Linked DNA regions of Lepisosteus oculatus. The protein of the gene in region 2 purifies or fractionates together with the protein of the main gene of each other region. This does not show direct contact. Links are inferred from orthologs where the notes say so. Each region holds a gene or a part of one and is shown on either strand. Other genes may lie near its edges.

What was found.
Region 1: the proteins of mtx2 (region 2) and chchd6a purify together in Homo sapiens (co-immunoprecipitation; 3 studies listed by BioGRID and IntAct, counting the BioPlex papers as one, with this or other methods). This does not show direct contact. The link is inferred for Lepisosteus oculatus from reciprocal best matches to the Homo sapiens genes MTX2 and CHCHD6.

The regions. Positions count from the first base shown.
Region 1 is NC_090699.1:61,086,266-61,096,934, forward strand, and holds the start of chchd6a (MICOS complex subunit mic25a), read right to left. Parts: upstream 5,320-10,669; 5' UTR 5,176-5,319; coding exon 5,092-5,175; intron 3,729-5,091; coding exon 3,620-3,728; intron 3,206-3,619; coding exon 3,148-3,205; intron 1,612-3,147; coding exon 1,467-1,611; intron 1-1,466. Other genes in the region: tpra1 (transmembrane protein adipocyte-associated 1 homolog), read right to left, coding at 10,241-10,478. UniProt on the Homo sapiens protein: Component of the MICOS complex, a large protein complex of the mitochondrial inner membrane that plays crucial roles in the maintenance of crista junctions, inner membrane architecture, and formation of contact sites to the outer membrane.
Region 2 is NC_090707.1:17,460,777-17,471,808, reverse strand, and holds the start of mtx2 (metaxin-2), read right to left. Parts: upstream 5,080-11,032; 5' UTR 4,925-5,079; coding exon 4,885-4,924; intron 1-4,884. UniProt on the Homo sapiens protein: Involved in transport of proteins into the mitochondrion.

The DNA.
Region 1 (10,669 bases), on a different chromosome or scaffold from region 2:
TGGTTTTGGTTTTAGGTTTGTCTACTTCTGAACAGAGCCTCAAGGGTTTCCATTGTAAATGTACTTAAACCCATGGCCACAGGTCTGTGCCAGCAGATAGCCAATATAATAATGACACCTGCAAAACGGAAGTAGAAGGTAATCAAGTACAGCAGGTGTTTGGAAAAACACCAACCCACAGCCAGGATCAGCCTCCAGTGCTAATCCTGAGCCAAGATCTAAGATAACCATGTGGCCTGTCTAAGGCTTCAGCCTGAAGTAGCTTTGATGTGTACAAAACCAAGACTGTAATTTTACGGTACCACACACCACAAAGGCCTCCAGACATCAAAGTTAAACAGCTTGGGCCTTACACAAGATGTTCTTGACTGAGCACGCCCCCAGGTGGGAAAAGAAAGAGGCATTTCTGTTTTGGACGATAAGAAGCCTACCTACTGTAAGACTAGAAATCTGAACCTACATAACCGTAGAGATTGTTATTTAAGATCAGTGATCATAAAATCACTACGGTTCAGTTTTCAATGAGACTCATTTAGTGCTCCACCAAACCATATCAGAATCAAGTCATAAAATTCAAATTACTAGTTAAACAGTCACCGCAAGAGGTAATACAAACAGGAGGAGCTTTTGAGGAGCTTTTCAGAAGAGCAGAATGCATTTGTATGGAACAGGGAGTCGCTCGGATTTGAATCAAGGTTGAGTTTACAAGGGGTTAAAGGAGCCAAACATCCAGTGTGCAAACTTGGTTTCATTTGAATTCTTTAGTTCAACACAATGTTAGAAATTAATCTAGTTCAATAGTTTGAGTTCTCTTTTAACAGTTTCACACCAATTCAATATTCTTTTGTCTTCACATGTTTTAGGACAACTTTTTTTTAATTGCTTACTGTAATTTAAATCCCAGACTATCTCACTGATAAAACTGCACAAAGAAAAGACAGCCACAAACATGTCTGTTTTCATCTAGTTTTGATCCATATTCATTTTCAAATATTTATCTGCAGACCTAAAGGCACTACAAGCATTGTGCAAAACATTGTACAAAAAAAGGTTTGGAACAACTATCCTAAATACCAGTTAATTTAAAATTTAAAAAATAATTTTATAATATATTAAATAATATTCATAAATAAAATATAAGTGAATAGGTCAAGGGCTTTCTTGTCTTACTGCCACTTTTTTTTACTTTGGGAAATTAATAGAATGAATTTGAGTTGAGTTAAGGCAATTAGTATTAAGGCAATCCTTAGTATTAAATTTAAGGTGACTGACTCCATTAACAACATTTACAATGTTCCCCCTTAATTTCCAAGCTTTAAGGCAACAAAATACCAAAAAATTTGCCTTCACTTCTGATTGTGTAAGTTTAAACTCCATCGGACTCATTTTAAAGGCGCCAGCTCGTGCAGGGATCTGCATTTAGGTACACTGCTGTGTTCTTGGGGGCACAGTGAAGGGACACTCACCAGCACCTTGGCCTTCTCTGCCTCCTGGCGTGTGTGGGCTCGTTCCCGAAGGACAGCCAGACTCAGCTCGTCTCGCACCGACTCCCTCTCCTTCCGGGCAATCCGAGCTAGCTCCTCCTGGACCATCGCCTTCTCCCTCTCGTACCTGCAAGAGAGCGTCAAGCAGGTATGGCATCACACCTGTAACCAGAACAGTCTCCAGCACCACAAGAACACCGAACACCCTAATCCGGGCAAAAATGCAAAGCACTTTCTGGACACACAAAGCATAAAAAAAAGTATGAGGGCATAAATTGACCAAAACATTAACAACATTAACCAAGATATTTTTTTTAAATAATGTACATTTTCATCATTACTAAAGTAAAATAGTAAAACTACTATTACAACTAATAGCATTTTCAAAAAATAAAAAAATTACAACCCGCAACACAGAGTTAAGACATAACTTAATCAATACCATCATCATCATCATCATTCCAAGCAGAGGTATTTCTTTACAGTCAGCAGTTTTTTTTATATTGATCCACTTTTTTTCACAAAATGGACAGTGTATGATCTTATTTATGGTAATATTTCCTAAAGTACTTCAAAGCATTGTGCAGCACAAAAAAATTAACACACAACACCACACCACACCACACTAAAGGCTAATGCAGAGCAATGTTTCAGCTAGATTAAAAAGTACTGATGCAATCATTATACTGTTTTGTAGCCACAGGAGGTCATTCTGCAGACCAAGATCCTATCTTTCTTCATAAAAGACTAAGCTTGCAAAGATTCTCTCTTCAGCAGTTTTCTGACAGAATGATTTTGCTGCAGTTAAATCTGCAGCTAAGAACCTTCAGACATTTTTCCACGTTACGCATTTGAAAAGGACAGTGAAGATTCAAAGCCAAATGATGCTCTTTGAAAATATTTGGAATAGTAATACTGTGGACTTGGCAGTAGTAATATTAACTGGACTGTATCTGCCCACTGAAGCTGACTACAGTATTCTTCAAGTATTTCTTGATGACTTATATTAAACAGGGGCTTCAAAGGCTTGTTATGCATGGTCCCTTTTCCATCAGGACAGCCCACAATGTTCAATGTCTGATAATGACATATTTGTGGGGTTTAACTTCTTAAAAAAATGGTTGAGTACCTTTACAGTGTCAGCAACCAAATTAATAAACAGATTTTTCACTTTTAACATTTAAAACCACAATATTATACCTACTAGCTGAAGAAAAGAAGCTACTTAGTAAACAGTTTAAAAACAGAGAACTGTATGAACAGAGAGAAAACTGACAGATAAACTAATATAAACTAAAATAAACTAAACTAATATGACTAAAATAATATAAAGGTTTAGTCTCAGATCTGAATAACAATGTTTCCAGATTTGTTTCTCTATCATATTAGAATAATATTGTCCCAGAATTCTTCTAAGATACTTTGTTTTCCTTCCAACCCACGTTTAAGGATGTAATACTTCACTTCACCACGGGGTGTCAGACGAACTCCACCTTTTTAAAATACAGTACGGTCAATGTTAGATCGGAATAGCTTATAAAAAACCCGCACGGCCCTAATAATAAAAATAATAATAATGATAATAAACTTTATTTTATATAGCACCTTTAAAGGTAGCTTCTCAAAGCGCTTAAAACCAATTAAAACCAATGAAAACACCCACCTTCTGTATAATTCCTCTTCTTTCACTGTGACTGTGTGTCCCGAATGCATCTTTGAACCTACAAACAACAAAAGAAAACATCTTCATTATTTTCTTTCACATTTTCAGATTAATGTGATGTTGTTAAAATGTTTGACCACCAACACATTTTGTTTCACTGTTTGTTAAGTGCTTTCACATTAATTAAATGTATTCGCATTTAATGTAATCTTAACATCTTTCTCCAAAGAAAACTCAATCAACAGGTAAGCATCTGCCCCTCATTCACTAATCTTCAGTTAAGCAAAAGTATCAGTTCACCCGAATCACTCTCATCAGTATGATGGAATTAGAAATAAGCAAAATTGTTGAAAAGCTATTTTATTTTTTTTTATTGAAATTCTTCTTTTCAAACTTTTTGTACCATCTCTATTATTACACCTATTGATGAAACAGTAACTTGTAAATATAGTTCACACAAACAAGACAAGACCTGAGGAGTCTTTACTGCTTTCTGTCTGAGAGGACGACCACTCGTCTGAAGCAGAGGGTTTGGATTCGGCTGATTTTTCTTTCATTTTCCTGATGACATCCTCCGACAACTGCCCAGAGAAAACAAGTGTGTTATCATTTTGTCCAGGAAGCGAACCCATACATGTAGACAAACAGCACGTGTAAGTGACAGTAATGCACTTCTTTTCAGTGCTGACTTCACGATTTTAAAGGCTAACTGGACAATGTTCCACATAACAATGTTCCACATAACCCCCCACAGTTTTCACACAGTTTCTTCCCACAAACTGTCAGAACTCTACCCCTACCACTGGCTTTGTATGTTATTTAACTTGTTGTTGTTGCTGCTGTTCTGTGTTTATGTTTTTGGTGATTCTTTTAATGTCTTTCTTATGGAGCACACATGCAAATATGCATGCACTTGTGCATATGACAATAAACTGAACTGAACAAACAATCAAGTCTCAAGGCTGTGTTAAGTAAATTAACTGCTGTCAGAAAAATGTACAACATTCAAAAATCATGCCACCTCAGGACCTTATTGCAACACGTTTTTGAAGAGAAGCAACTTTGGGCCCAGACATTCCTTGAACAGAAAGCAGCTACACCAGATCAGGTCGCTGCTGGAAGTGGTGCTTAAGGACCAGCAGGTGAGATTCGCAACTCTGCACCACTAATTCCAAACCTATGCCTGCGTCTGGAGATTCGAGACACTGAGCTTAAAGAGGTACATATTTTTCGATGACACAAAAAACAAGGACCTCAACACCCTGCAATCATAAACGATGCAATCGCTGTATTGTGAATAGTAACCACTGCTTACACAAGTTGAAGAGCACTTGATGAAAGCATAGCATTACAGGCATTTCAAGACAGTGAAATACGAGATTAAAAGGCAAACATGCTCCAAAACTGGAACACAAATTACCACGTTTATTTGGTGAGTAATTTAGAAAGTTAATGTTATATTTCAAATAAAAATGAATTGGGCCTGTATGAGAAAACAGCTATTGTTTTTGTTTTGGCGTGTTGATCTACAGGATGACCGTTTGTTTTTGCTTTAACAGTAACATTGGCATTGTCAGTTTCGGCAATTTGGCAGCATTTGAGGCAGTCAGCATCCGATTTGCCTGTTACAAAGCAAGACAGCTTGCAAACCTGCAAGCATTTATCAGAGGTCAACTTTGGTTTGGTGCCGAGAACTGTATAAAGCCATGACTTATGGGATGCTTCCCTAGCCCACATAAATTGCTCCATCCGATGTTAGAAGACAGGATTGCATCTCCAGGCGTTTGTACCCAGTATAAGGTTGTCGAGCTAGACTTAAGAGGTGACTAAAAACCAGATAAAGCTCAGTTTCCATTTTTGCATTTGCTATAAACGTAATACGTTCTCCTTAGCGTGCAGGACCTTTCCAATAAGTTTGCTTTTTGGCAATTGTTCCTTCCTTACCTTGATTCCGTGCAAAACCCTCACCCTGTCTTCCTCGTCCAAACCAAAAGACACCTTTCTAGTTACACTCTCACTCCCTCCCATTGTAAAATGCTGTCCTTCAGTACGACCTTCGGTTATTTTGCTTGGATTATTAAAACACTGATATTCCTCTGCAACCACTTGAAAATCTATGGACCTTTCAGCCTTCGCTCCACATGAAAAGTCATTTTTTTAACATGCCAGTATTGTGAAATGCAATTGGTAGACGTACATGGGAAGCCCAATCACATTGCAGAATGCTACCGAAGGGAACCGGATTCAAGTGGGAACTGTAGTTCAGTAAAAGCAACAACTTTCAGGCGGGGCTTGTTAACGTGCATTATCCCTGTGAGCCTGTATTATCTCAGCCATACAGTGAACATTTTATGTAGCGTCGGCTTGAAAAACGGATACATCTTTCCATTCGTTATCTTTTAAACGGGAACGGGAGCAAGTACAATAACTATACACAAAATCGGCTCGGGAAAAAATGAAAAAGGAATGCCTTTGAGATATTTAGAACCGTTTCTAAATGATTTAATAGTGATTATTATGTACATAGAGATAAGTTATGCACCGTTTTTGTTCAGAAATACTTCCTCCCGTCAACAGCTGATTATGCTATTAGAGATGCAACCAATCTGGTTTCTAAACAGTATTTGTCATTTGTAATTATTGTTGGACATCACAGGCCTACATTTTAATAAACTAACAAGGTGTCATTGCAAGAATTAAATGACACTGGAAGTCTGGTGGTTTTAATTACATTTAATAAAGGATAGACATAATTGTTTTACATATAATTAATGAATAATAATTGCTTACACTTACATAGCGCTTTTCTGGACACTCCACTCAAAGCGCTTTACAGGTAATGGGGACTCCCCTCCACCACCACCAATGTGCAGCATCCACCTGGATGATGCGACGGCAGCCATAGTGCGCCAGAACACTCACCACACATCAGCAATCAGTGGGGAGGAGAGCAGAGTAATGAAGCCAATTTATAGAGGGGGATTGTCAGGAGGCCATGATTGATAAAGGCTGATGGGAAATGTTGCCAGGACGCCGGGGTTACACCCCTACTCTTTTCGAGAAACACCCTGGGATTTTTAATGACCACGGTTTTACGTCTCATCCGAAAGACGGCGCCTGTTTTACAGTATATATATAAGTCCCAGTCACTACACTGGGGCATTAGGACCCACATGAGCTGCAGGGTGAGCGCCCCCTGCTGGCCCCACTAACACCTCCTCCAGCAGCAACCTTAGTTTTTCCCAGGAGGTCTCCTATCCAGGTACTGACCAGGCTCACACCTGCTTAGCTTCAGTGGGTTGCCAGTTGTGAGTTGCAGGGTGATATGGCTGCTGGCTACTATATAGTACCATTATAATTATATACAAAAACAAAGAGTTTCAGAGTTGGCACTAAATCGTTTTTGACAATTATGCTGGTCTGACTAATTGAACCATCAAAACTTAAAACTAGTAAACTAATAATCTGTCTGCACATTAATTCACATCTCATGTTTACTTGATTTTGACAGCCTTAATTACACTCCATTTCAACGTTTTAGTATGTCTAGGTTACAGAGCGTCCCAATCCGAGAGGGAATTTGAAAATTGGGAACTAGAAACCCTTATTACTCCCTAAATACCAATGTTTCCAGCTCTTTATTGTGTATTGGCAGCTACCTCCACATACAGCAGTCCTAATTTTTAAGGGTTAGCTATTTATTGACTGTTTGTGTCCCCTCAACTAAAGCATTTGTAAAGCTTAAACACAGACTGTAGAATTACAGAGGCATTAAAATGCTATGCCATAAAAAAACAGTCCTGCCCCCTTTGTATTACCTATAATTTATCTGCATTTGAGATCATCAGTGAACATCACATCATATCATTGTTGAACTCCAGATACACCTACACTTCCTTTGAACGTGAGGGAGTTCTTTAATTTCCCAATACACTTTGAACACTGGAAAATCTTGCTTTCTATTCTATTTGTCTGGGAATTTGCAATGATTATCTAAACCAAATTGGATTTTCCAAGTACCTCAACATTTTTAATCCGGACTTAAAACTCATTTTTGCACTTCAACTTTCTCGTTTAATTTACCGTTTTAATTTATGTATACCTTCCTCTTTTATGAAATAAAGCTATTACTCCTATATTTACTTTGTCACATTCATACCATGAACAGCTTCCAACCTCAAACTTCCATGGAATTGGATGAAACGATAAGTAAAGACTAAGGCGGATCTAAGAAAAAGTATATACCTGCATTTTTCTTCCAAATTCCAGTAGGCCTACAGAATTATTTAATCTTGGGAGTTTGGATCATAGATTTCAAACCCACTTGAGAGTACTGTTCAAGTAACTGTATATTATACTGTAAATGGATATAAAAGTGCTTATACATGTAAGCACATTACACTGTTTATTCCTTAACCAGCTGAAACAAATACAAAACGTTAGCTTTCAGCTTTTAAGGCATATGTAAGATTTGTTTTTCCCTCTTACCATGAGTTTTCTACTTCTACTTTGGCAAAACAAAATCTAACTAAACATTGACAAAAGAAATAGAAAGCAGGCAGACAGGAAGCGTTTTTAATAATCACTTTCTAGGAATGTTTAACATACCACAATAATACTCTATAGAAATACATACAATTAAATAAAACCATTTTCTTAATAAAAAATGTTTAATTTTTACATGCTTTCATGTTGGTCTTGCAATGATGAATCAAGTGTTGTGTTGATCCCTGCCCTAATACAAATTCCAAGCCTCCACAATTCCACCAGTCAAATACCTCCAACAGAACCCAGGGTCATCTTGAATTCATCTATCTTGATGCCAGTCTTCAGCTCCAGACCAAATTCCATGGGAGAAAAATATTTTTCAATTAGAGGCAACTTCCTCTGAAAACATTTCCCTGTGCAACTTTTATTATGCTGCATCAAAATCCCAACACAGATTTGCCATATTAAAGGGCCAGTTCAAAATTTGGTCACAATATTCAAAACAAAGTGTATCATTTAACATTTAAGAAACAGAAAAATCTCATAGTGGGAAAGTTTCTGTGGTCTATATTTAAATATTTCAATCACTCTTTTTTTAATAAAATACGCAGTCCAAAGAAGCTTAGCCCAAAGTGCAAAAGTTAGAGTACTCTTTCCAGTTAAATTTCACACAGGTCAAAAACCTTTTTCACTGCCAAACATGGATTTAATTCTTGCTAAGAAACATTGTATAATACTTGTGCTGTAATTGTGACATCTGCACCTCTGTTAAACCCTATGAAAGCACAAAAATATTCTGATTTGGCAATTCAGATTTACACAATACAGTATTCAAAAATAATTAAAATTACAAATGTTTCCAATTCACGGCTCACAAAAAAAATGTTCATCTTCACTGTACAAGCAGATGTAACAATCCACATCATCCTATCTATTCCCTGAAACGCAAAAGTCCAGCATTTCCAGATGCAAAATCCAGCCCAGATTATTGCCTTACAAGTTAAGGAAACTAGTTAACTACTGAAGAAGTCTTGATAACAATATAATCCATTTCAGGGGAATCATTAAAGCAAAAAATATTTATTCAAGAGGTGTCAGTGCTGAGAAATAGTACTTAATATCAAGACACTGTATCCTTCTATTTCTGATATACTGGATCTGAGTGTTCCATATAGTTTTCTGAGAACTTATTTGTCTAATACTAGTACAGCAACACATTTCTAGTGCTACTGATAAGGTTACAGCTCCAGATTTTGTAAAGGCCAAAACACAAACAGGGAACTACCACGGTTAAAAATCACAGCTTGTATGCAATCCCGATTTATAAAAATTGTTAAACAAAAGAGGAGGTTACATAGAGTGATATTGGGGAAAATGTTCCAAGTTTGTACAAGTAAAGCAGGAGACTGCATTCATGCATTCACCATGCAATCAATAAAGGAACCAGTAAAGATTTCTTTCTACTTTTCAGCTCCACACTGAATATTAGAAAAAAAACAGTTAAACACATATTTTAGCTATGGATCCTTCTTCAGCCTCCTCATTCCTGAGGTAGGATTCACAGCTGAAACAATGAGTTCCATCCTGCTTCTCAGAGTGCAATTAACATCTGCTTGGTTCTCAATTACAGTTATGGAAATTTTAAGTATTTTTTAATCAGATGTTCAGTACGTTCTCATTAAAACAATGTCTTACTGGGCGGGTCCATCAAACATTAATTACAAACTATGCGCACATAGGAATAAATAAGACTCTTTCTCATACACCTTATTTATATTTTAATGCTCTTCTATAGAATTTCTTTTAGTGCACTAAAGTGGTTAAATTCCAGCACACTGGTCCTACCATGGAAACACAACTTTTCTAAATTCCCTTAATATCAGGGAAAAAGTAACAAAGCAGCTGTTGATTACAGGATAAAAAGGGAAAAAATAATTTATGACAGAAATAAGCTAGTTGACACTGGTTGGTATTTATCCATTTAACTGATAAATTACTGTTTTGGCTGAACATTTGCAACTGCTCCATAAATCATGTTGACTAGAATTTCTACAAACCGAACCCCTCTGGTGAATTTGCTACAGCCAAAGCTATAGCAGTGTTATTACATTGAAGCACCAAAAACAAAACTCTTAAGTGACGATTTAAGTTAAATTAACCCCTCTAAGAAACTCCAGTAAAGTCTCTTATTTCCCATATAATCAAAGCAGCATGTATGTCAGTGTTTCACGCCATCAATAAAGCATTAGTTAAAAGCTTTTTTTAAAAAAAATAAAAGAATCACTTGTAATACAATGTAAATGCTGAGTCTGAGAGAAAATGAGGATGACTTGGCAAAAACCGTGAGGCAAAATGATTTGAGAATTATGTCTGCCAGCTCATTTCCCTTTCTCATGTGGGACAGCAGGGAGCCGAGATTACCTGTTGCAAATTTCAGATTGGAATGTATATACTGTACATTTACTGCTTTGCTCAAAAGCAACATCCATGTTGCTAAGTATCCCCATGAATGGATTTATAAAATCCTGCACATGGTCTTTTACATTTCATGATCAGAACTGTTCCTGGAGAGGTGCAGAATCCTACCCCTCCTCTGGATTGGATTCTAGGCATTGATGGCCCTCCAGCGGTCACTATCAATACTGTTAATGCTACCCACAGGATAAGGGCCTGAGGCGACATCATCCAAGTAGGACCCCGAGGTATCTATCTGTGTGCTGGAGTAGAATCCAGGTTCATGACCATCTTTCTTGCCCACACCATAGGTCGGGGGAAGGTGAACATCTGTGTCATCAGGCTCATCGATCTGGGATTTGTAGGAAAACAGGATCTTTGGCTCTGATCTGGAGAAGGAAATGAGAGATAAATACTTATTCTTGCCAGAGTAAGATTCAAAGCTGTGACTTTATCAAATGTTTTGCTTGTGCAATAGGTTTTAATGATGTCTATTCTATGCAATAGAACAGATAATGATTATGAACATTAAAACAAATACACTTTTACTGTAGGTAGGGAACGAATCTACTGTTCGACC
Region 2 (11,032 bases):
TACTAGGGCATTGGTTTGGAAATAGCACCACTGGCTTCTGTAGCCTGGTCTTCCTTGGGAAACTCCAAACCCAGAACTGAAAAGGCCCAGCCTTTGCTTTGCTTCCTAGACACAACACGATCACACTGTAAGGTGGCAGCACAGTATTAAAGATGAAACACAAACACTGGCAGGCTTTAATGAAACTTCAATGACTCAGTCGAACACAGAGGAAATGCACTCAGGGAATGTGGATGGCAGCAATGTGAGACCTCTAGGGCATTCATGGTCTATCTATCCAGCAAAATCCTCAAAGGCCCTTGACAAAGTCAACCCAGTGGACTTCTTTAGAATTTCAGAATAAAACGTGATACGCAAAACATAAAACAGTTCAATAAACTGATGGGAAACATGCATTATCAGACTGCTCCCTGTCAACCACTGTAATACATCAAAGCCAGGATCATAATACCCAGACAGAGCACTAGATGGATTGCTTATACAAATCAACAACTACAGTTACAGTCACCAGGTGCCCCAGTAATGGTAACATCACAACACATCATTAGACTGCACTACTGCAATTTCTGCATCAACATGGATGACACTTTACTGGATAGGACAGAGTCTGGCTGTTGTGGAGACAGCACGAGTTGACAGGAGACGGCAGTCTGCTGTGGTCTCTGTAAGGCCTGGTCCTGCAGATCCACATACCAGCTGGGTTTTCTTCTACTTCAGGACTCGGGTACATAATGCTTTTTCATAAGAAGCTTCTTTAATTTCTGCATTTTCCATCTGATGTTTATATCTTATGTTTCTGCTATCTTCATGCAACTCTCTGCACTTGCCTACATTAAATGTCATGTGCTGGGTGTTTGCCCACCTTAGAAAGTTCTCTTTTCTTCAGCTTCTACAGAGTTTGCTAATCTTCTTATTGTCATGCCCTCTGCAGCCAGAGGGCGCTCCTTCTCTGTCATGTCCCTATTTCCGGTCTGCTGTCCTTCCTGTCCCTCTCTTTCCCTTGGGCTATATATTTCCGGGTCTTGCACTCTGTCCGGGCTCAGCATTGACGTTCGGATGTCCTGAGACCCGCCTAGCACCAGGGCGCCCCACGTCCGCTCCCTGAGGGTATAGGTTTCTATACGGCATTCCTGAACTCTTTGCACTAATGAGCCCGGGCCTTTTTCCCGTCTCGCCGCTACGCATATGGGTCTTTTTCTGCTCTCCTGCTCCCCACGGTTAGTCCCTTTGGACGTCCGTGACACTTATTGTTGTGTCAATTGTGAATTTGAGTATTTTATTAACTGAACCGTAACCTAGATTACTAATATAAATTAGGAAGAGGAGTGGCCCAAACACACAATTACTTACACTTAGTTTAAGCATTTATTTCTAATATGTAGTTTGTTTTTCATCCATTATCCGGTTCTCAATCCAAATTTCCTTACTCTAGTTTTCTGCTACTGACATCCCAAAGTATGAGAGAAAAATGAAAATCAACCCACAATAACCCCCTCTTCCTGCGTACAGTACATCCAACATTTTATTATATACAAATATGAAATACACCTTACACTATGCCCTTTGAATATTTTATAAGTCCAATTCATATAGATTTTGAGAACTTTGATTAAATTGGATTAGCTGTATGTGTCTGAATCCTATATGTTCAAGTAGTGGACAAAAAAATGAAAACACATGGTTAAACGAGGGACACCAGGTGTGCTGAAAACAAGGGCTTCCACACAGGTGTGGCTTATGTGTTAATTCAGCAACATCCTAGTACACTGAGGGTCATGTATAAAAATGCTGGACAGGCCTGGTTGGCTATATTTACGGCTGTCATCGTTGAAAGAGGAGACACTGGTGACTTTAAAAGAGAGGTGACTTTTGGAGTGGGTTTAGCTTTAGTGACCAAGATAGCTCAGTTTGCTGATGTTTCAAGACCAACAGTGTGGCAGGATTGTGATATCTGCGCGTTATCACAAATGCAATGCAAATCAGGCCAGCAACTGACTGCAAATTACAACCTGGTGCACGAGGAGCCGGTTTCACCAAAAACTGTCCATTGAGAACTCCAAGGAGCAGGATACCATAGTCAGGTTGCAGCACAAAGAAAACGCTTATCACAGCTGACAATGCACATTTGCGAGTCCAGTGGTGCAGAGAGCAAAGGCAGATGAATCCACCTTCACCATCTTCTCAACAGACAGGCAAGTGCTTTTCAAATTTGTCTCTTGGGTTCTCCTTCTCACTCTACTCACTGTGTATCTCCTTTGCAGAGTTCCTATGGTTCCTCTCACCTTCTATTCTAGTAAAAACGTTCGTCGAATCCCTCTATAGAGTCTTGCCCCAGGCCCTCATGGCCCCATCTCATTCAGATGGAATCCACATTGTCTGCACAGATGGGCTGTGCTACATCAAGGATTCTGATAGCTGAAAATGCTGAAGTCTTCTTCAACACACCATGTCCTCTAGCGTTTCTTTTTGTTCACTTTCATACGGTCAGGCAGTGTCTTTGAGAAAAGCACTAATTTAGTCCTAGCCTTCAGTTTGTTTCCCAAGTCTCCCAAGAATTTCTTTCTTAAGGAAAGAGGGCTGCTTATGTCGCTTTTTATTACATCAACATTAACTGGGTTTATTCCTGGGAGCCTGAACACCTTGGATGATGTCAGCCACCACGGCCACAGTACATGCAGACAACACTGTTGTTGACTTGGTATCCTTGATGCATACCTCACTATCTGCATTTGGGAAAGTAAAGTCTTTTTCTGTTTAGTCCTGGCAGTAATTAAAGGGGAACTGCAGTCCCAATTTTTTCAGACCGGTCATTAAATCTCAGTAACAAAATAAATTCACCAACGGTATAGAAGAAATTGACGAATTTCGAACTAAGCACAAAACGGGGACCTTTGTGGTGAAAGTACCGTAGCTCACCATGTTGTCGCAATTCCTGGTCCCGCCTTGGGCAAGAGCACGGGTTTGTGCGTGCTGTGATGTGAAACAGCCCTTCCTGCTCACTAGTCACTGCCAAGACTACTGGAATGTGATGTGGGTGCAAATAAGTAAAGGTTGTGCAACAGACATTTCACCACAGAAATGCTCCAATGTGATCTGCATGCAGAGTTAACAAGTAAGTAGTATTTGTCGGCAGAAGTCAAGAGCAATATTTCTATTAGGTTAAAAGAGTTGGATTCACAAACCTGCTTCTTTACAATGTCATAGGGCCACTTCACATTACCAGTTGCCTCACTCTGAATCGCAGACTATGGTGCTGTGCATACCTGGAACCTTCATCTGTTTTGTGATGTAAATTAGAGCTACTGTGTACATCTTACTTTTTTTGTGCTTTGAAATGCACGCATCAATGCTGATTCCTTCTAACCCTGAAACAGAAAACTAGCATTGCAGTTCTGCTTTAAAGTTGATATGGCTGGAGTTTGGACTTCAGTGCCTGTAACGGTGGTATTCTGGATGCTGTTGACTTGAAATTCCAAGTCTGGACTGTCTGCTTCCAGGTCATGGAATAAAGCAAACATATTTGGAGATATGTCACGCGGGATGTCATGATAGGCTGCTGATTTTTTTTTTTTACATCCTGGGAACAGCTCTTCTCTGCCAGCTTCCCTGCAATGTTTTTTTTTTTAACTTTATTCCTTCATAAATGTGACTTTCGAGAGTTCCTTGATCTCATGGTACGCTTTAATTGCAGTAGAGTTTCAGTTTCTTTTTATTTTTACAAAAAGGAACTGGCTTTTGTGGCAGTTTTCACAGAGGTACTGTAGTCTGGCTTCCAGGATACAACTCAAAGGTTTAAGCACCATTCGAAGGTGGATATTTTGTAGGATTTTTCTGTTTAAAAATGTATGGTAAAATGGTGGTGGGGGTATGGGTACTACACAGAACGTTACATCACACTTGCACACCATTCCTATATGTCTGAAATTTGTTTTTTTTAAAGAAATGCCTGACAATATTTCACAGTCTATGAATGTATCTGCTAAAACAGAAAGCAGAAACTATAAAATAATTTCCTAAACCATTAAATACATTATAATATGTCAACATGCTACTGATTTCATCATCTTTGGAACAGCCTTGATAATTAAATCTCTGAGCGCATACAAAATAGAGACAGTAAATGGGTATTTTAAAGACAAGAGTTTTTATACTCAAGTTTAAAGGACACTTTTTTTCCCACAAACATCCTCTCTTCCATAATTAACCAAAGATTTAATCCAATAGTGTTATAACCTTCAAGTCACTTTTTGTATGCGGCTACACCAAAAACAAACCGTATTAAACTCTATTCCCCATCTCTTTTGTAGAATTCCTACTGTTTAGTGTTACACACCTAGTGATACTATGTAATATGAATGACACACTAATTGATAATACCTCAGTCTCCATTAAATTTAACATTTGTTTTAAACAATAACAACCATCCTGTTATACTTTTAAACATGACACATGTTCATCACACCCCAGTTAACTTAATTCTAAGCCAAAGTAATAAAAAATCACCCCCTTATTGTTAGGAACAAACTATTTTGTTCTGCGACCTTATATATGAGGGCTAGGTGTTTGACGCTGAAATACGATATTAAACTACTCTATAACCTTTCGACGTGAATGTTATTGCACATTTTATAATGATATATCATGATAATTGCATTTTGTTTAATATAGACTATACTAAAAGATAATCAAGTTCTATATACTCAATGGGATTGCTCGACAGTCAGGCAACAATTAAATCGTTGAGATACTACATTCTTAGGTCATACATGAGCAGGAATTTATTTTGTGGGAAAATCGTTCTCATATTTAAAACATATGTAATTGGTACGTAAAAGTATATGAGCAACACATAGTTATCACTTACGGTAATATAAGCGTTATTACCTGCTATTTGGGATACAAACGCCTCTGCAGCAAGAGACATGATGACAGATGAACTCGAAAATTTTAATTTACACTTTTTGATTAAAAATACAATGTCTCAGACAAGGAAAAACTGTACTGCACTATTCACCGCAGCGGACAACGATAAGGGCACAGCAGCCTTCAGGATGTGAACCCTGTGAAAGACGAGCATAAACACGCATTCGATCAACTGCTTCCTGGTGCACTGCAATCATTCTTCTTCCGGATTATTGTGTACAGAGATTACTGGATATTTGTTCTTGAGGAGCTTTCTTTATTATCCTCGACAGCGTTAATACTTGTTTTTATCAATCCTTGGAAATACAGTTCCGAGACTGTATATCTTGACTGTCTTTTCAAATGTAAAAACACGAAAACTCGAATCCGCGAGTAGCGGCTGATACTGTCTATTGAGTTGCAAAAGCAGATGAAAAGACGTACGGCGCATTAGGGAGATTGATAAACTATTTTCTTTAGGTGTTTTTGATTGTCCACTTATAACAAATGTTTTGTGCTTGTCTCATTATATATTCGTGGGTTTATTGATTGTTTTATGTAATATTAGCATTTTTTCAATACCAGTAACGCATTAATCAACACAATAAACACGACTGATATCTAGTTTTCTTTTCTGAAATTAATTTTAACTGCAAGTATTTTTCCCTCAGCATAAATTATCTGGGTGACTGTATCACGGAGAGAGGTCCAGGAAGATATTTCTCATTCTTCAGTCAGTTTCCTGGCGTCCCTGAATGTATAATCCAGTATTGCTGTATTTAAATTAGATTATTTGTAAATGTGTGGATAAAGATTTAACCTTACGATGACGATAGTTAACCCAACCCCTTTAAATTTTTCAAGGATAGCTCTGACTTGAAAGCATGCATATTTGTCTCTCATCTGATTTATTTCTTCAGCTACCCTACTTCCAGATTAGATTTGTTTCCTTGAACAAATAACATTTAATATACCTAAAACTGAGATTGGGTGGTTGAATGCAAACTTTTATTGTCAACACCGTTTAAGGAAATCCCATTTTCAGTAATGTTTCCATGTTTTGAGCATAAAGCCTTCATTTGGTGAGCACAAACAAAGCCTGACCCGGAACACATTCTCTTACACAGTTTGTGAATCTGTATTTTATAATGAGATTCATATTGTATAGCAATCTTTTTCATTTCAGATGTCCTTTTTGCAGATATTTACTGATGAAACAGAAAATGTTTAGCCTTCTGTGTAATTTTAATTGAATTTAGCAGTCTGTGCATACTTTACAGTTTGATGCTGTATCTACTTGTTCTTGGCCTGTTGAAGGACCAGTAACTGGTATAATCTGTAGTGGACCAAAATAATATGCAAAGGAATCATTTGCTTCCCTGTGTGTAACAGGACTGCTCTTGATATTGCTTCTTACCATTGTTGATAGTAAATAGTCAATTTTCTGTAAGCATGGAAAACTGCGTATTATGTATCCAGTTAAATAGCTCTTGATTTTGGATCACAGTCTTTATCACCTGCTGTTTCTGCAAGGTATCCAATTTTGACCACTTTCTATAAGGCTAGTGCTCAGCTGAAGTTTGGTGCAGCATCAATTTTTTGCCACCTCAACAAAGAAATATATCAATCTGAGCCAAATTCTAAAAAGGAATTGTGTGTAGTTACAACAATAATTCATGTTGGCAATTTTGTAAAGATTTATTGCATGTGAATAAATGTGTACACTTTATGAGACATATATTTAACATTGCATATTATACTGCACTTTATTTATTTTACTTGTTTTGTTTATCTTTATTTCACTATGTTCAAGAGCACATTTAAAGCAATATGAGTAATAATGTATGTCATTAAAATATATAGTTAGAAAATACTACACTTCGATGCACAAATGTGCTGTCCCCAGTACTGGGATTTATTTTAAAATGTGTTTTCCTTCCATTAAAATATTTCTCTAATTCTAAAACAGACCTACAATAATCTTCAATATCATTTTCAGGAGCAGAGGATCTGAAGGGTACATATATCTGACAAGACACTGATTCCATTTAAACTTGACAGTCTCAAAGTATGTGACATTCAGTGGTGATTCAGACCATTTATATACTGACAGGCATTAAAATGAAACAAGTGAAGTTGGTTCCCATACCAATTTATGGTTTCAATGAGTTCTAGTAAACGTTAGCAACAGTGATGAATGCAAGTTCACTAAGGAGGTTCTCTACTGGTGGTTACGATACTAATACAAGAATACTTCAGTGTAACATTTAAAATGTTAGCAATCCAGAGTTTTCTTCAGTATTGAATACACTATTACTGCTTTTATAGTCAATTTGATTACTTTAAACAGTTAAAGCATTTCAGCTTGGATTTGATGTCATCCTTACATTGGAATAGCAATAAAACTGTTGTGGTAGAGTGTGTTTTGTGGTCTTCATAGCCTTAATGTATTAGATTTTAAGCCAGAATTTTATTGTTATGGGTGCTTAAAGAGAGGTGTGGTTGCTACAGAAATTTGTATTTTAAAGTGATTTAATGAAAAACGATTGGTAACTTTGAAGTTGTGCTTTGCTTCAAGAGTCGTAGGGAAATGGAACAAGCTATTCAGCCATGTTGTTGAAGGTCTGGCTTCTTTCAAGAAATGGTTGAGATCCATGAATTAATCAGCTAATGAAAACTAAACAGACTTCGTGGGCCAAATGACTCGTCTCAGTGCTATATGTTATTATATTACAAATCCCTTTTTAATCATTTTTAATCATTTACATTGTGTAACTGCTAACACCAGGTAGATCCTCATGACTTGGTCCTCATGAAAATATCGGTATGCTCTGGGAGAAATAATTCCCTCATCTGTGAGATTTTCAGGAATGTAAGCAGGTTCTCCATAGCCTTCATTCCCTGACCCCCTTTACTCATCCAGCTTCGTTCTTTTTCCTCCATGTGTACATGTTTCCTTTATTTTTAATATGAGGCAATCAATAAGAACAACTGAAACTTGTAGGTCAATGTATTCTTTTGGTCTACCTTACTCTGTGGACGATTGTGCTCATTTACTTAAAATGGTCGGGCTACAGCAGGTTACCTGACTTTTCTGAGGCTATATCCACTATGAACACAGAAGGAAAAACACAGTAGTAGGCTTGTGAAGACGTTTTCTGCATGAAGCTGTGTTTAAAGGCACAGCACCCGAATGTAAACTTTTTAATTACGGATGTATTGTTATGAAGAATCATATTTAGGCAAGCCTTTTAACTGTAACCAAGCAGACAATGAACCTGATATAAGGTTAAAAACTGATGTAACTTTTTGGTGGAAATACGTTACAATTCTGCTAATATATTATATAATATTTTAAGAATTATATAATGCTTCTTCTGTTCAAACAATAGAATTCCTTTAAAAAATTGTGAGAATGATTCTAACCCACTATAGTGACATTAAGAACTGAAGACCAATTATACATTACATTTTAAGTATAATAGTAATGTAAGTGTATTTAAGCTTGAAAGGACATTTTGGAAAAGGAGGTTTGCACTCTTGTAAGTCTGGACGCCCTACCTAAATTCAATGGCATTTTCAATGATTAAAAAGCGTATATAGTCTCTGCTGTATAGCACATGAAATTGTTACTACATGCTTAAAGTTTTCTATTACGACCTTTCGTTCTTTCAATTGTGTAATCAGTAATTATAATTAAGATAATTGTCATATTGAAGTGCTATTACACTCTTAATTTTTGATTGACGTGTTCTTTGTTTTCCTCTTTTTTTGTATATTTGTATAATTTCTTTAAAAATGATTTTACAAAAAAAAACTAAATTTGTCGAGTGTTCTTTAATAAAATAATGTAGAAATGCTTCTCCGGCACATAGATATTTTATAGTAAAAGAACTAATTAAGGAAATCAAACTCGCTTTAACCTGACTTAAAAAAGCAAAAAGATTTATCTCTTTAAATCGTTTTACCTAAGTCCCAATTCATCAAAAAGAATAGCGTATGGAAGCGTTTTGCAATAATAATTAACATTACATTTTAAAATCCTTATACCTATTTGTCTTTTCTTTTTCGAGAATTAAATTAGATTACAAAAATTAAATTAGCTATATATTTCCATTTCTCACTTAAAATGTATAACCTGTAAAAATAAAAATCGCTTCTGCGGCAGGGGAAATGATATAGCCTACCTGAAGAAAAGAATTTTAGTACTTTTAAAAGGCTGTACATGTAGGTCTAGCCTACTTTTCTACCAGTTTGCCTAGGAACAACATTTTGCTTCTGTCGTACATATACCTTTACCTTGTACTTAAGCCTACTTAATTTTATAGTTTGTATATATTACAATAATAATAAACAAAAATCTGGTAATTATATTTTTTTTCTCTTCATTCATATATCTGATCCGTCCCAAGATTTGCAAGTCTTATTTCTTTCACAAAGCATTCAAAGGATCGCTATACTCCTAGAAGACGTAAATCTTTGAAAAGAACTTCACGTCGTTCTAGAACAGAAAAAGAAAGTCGATAGATGAGCACACTATATCTTTTCGGATCAATTAAATTAGTATTCTGTTTTTCACTTTTAGGAAATAAAATTTGATTCATAAGTAAAGATCTTCAAACTGCCTGCCTTAATTAGTAATCGGTGTGTAAACTTGCACGTCTACTAACCTTTTGGTTAGTTAGGCTGTGAACTTTTGATGACCCGGTACCCCCCGGAGAAAAGAAGGGCACTGTATCTCAAACATTTACAAGATGCCCGTGGTTCTTCCGCTCCTCTGAAGTAAAACCTGGATATCAAACAAGTGCAACAACGCAACTGTGGGTTTCACAATGCCTTCAGATCTCCGAACAGTTTTACCTATTGTTTGTATGGTAATCTTAAACATATCTCTGATCATCAAAGGCTTAAAGACGTACTACAGACAAGGATCAGAGACTGACAATGTAAAAGGAGGAAAACAGTGGGGGTGATATCAAGGGCCCACACAATAGGCTTTTCTAAGGAGAAATACCTTTACCTTTACAAGCATATGGATTAGGCTGTGTAGGTGAATGCGCGCCATATATAATATTTCAGCACGAACTAAGATCCATTATCTGCAGATAGAAACCCATACGTAATACATATTAAACGTTACACCCTTGTAATAATGTTTGCTAATAATTCTGGTATCAGAGAACCATGGGGAGAATCCCGAAGAGAGCCTTTGAGACCACTGGGCCTTTGAAATACCGCCCTCAGCATGGAGTTTCTGTTTTGTTTTAGTACAATTCATTAACACAAAAAGTGCCGAAGAATGCTGACCAGTGAGCTTTTCAGAGGGACGCAGTGAAATGTCCTGTTTGACACAATGCCATAGGAGCCGGTCTCCACACTTTATCATACAAAAGTAACACACTCCCTAAATTTAAATGTCTCATTCATAACAACTACATATTTAGCAATAATAAAGATCAATTAGCTTCAGTAAGAGAAAAATCCCAAACTATGTTGAATAATTTTTAATCGAGTCACTACGACATAATCGTTGAGAACCGACTGTAAACACAGACCAGCTAACATACTTTTATACGACCTGTACAAAATGACTTGAAAGGTCCAAGACAACAAATAACATATTTTATTAGCTCATGGCCAAAGGAGCTCGAAATATGCGAGTCTAGCACTACATTTCTAGATAAATAAAGGTAGCGTGACCTCTGCCGAAATCCAGCTCTGTAATTTGCGACAGAAGAATCAAATTACAATCAACATTTTTTGTGCTAGTATTTAAATACCAGTTTGCAAAGCAACAACTGTGGATATGTGGTGTCGTTATTCTCATATTATTCCCGTATCTCTTTAAAATAGAACAGAAATTTAAACAGAATTTTCATCATATGTTCAACACTTTTAGTACAACCTGCATTAAAACATTTTTTTTCTTCCTTTTCCATCAGGATTCACGCAAGCTACTTATCACCACTGATTAAAACAACAACAACAAAGTTGTTAAAATAAACACCCGTTTATTTTAAAAAGCGTGGTTTACATATTCAAGTAAAATTACATGTAATTACCTATTAAATAAAACTTATGGTTTTAAAGCTGATGTTAAACTCTTTGAACTAGTCGTGTATCACAACGG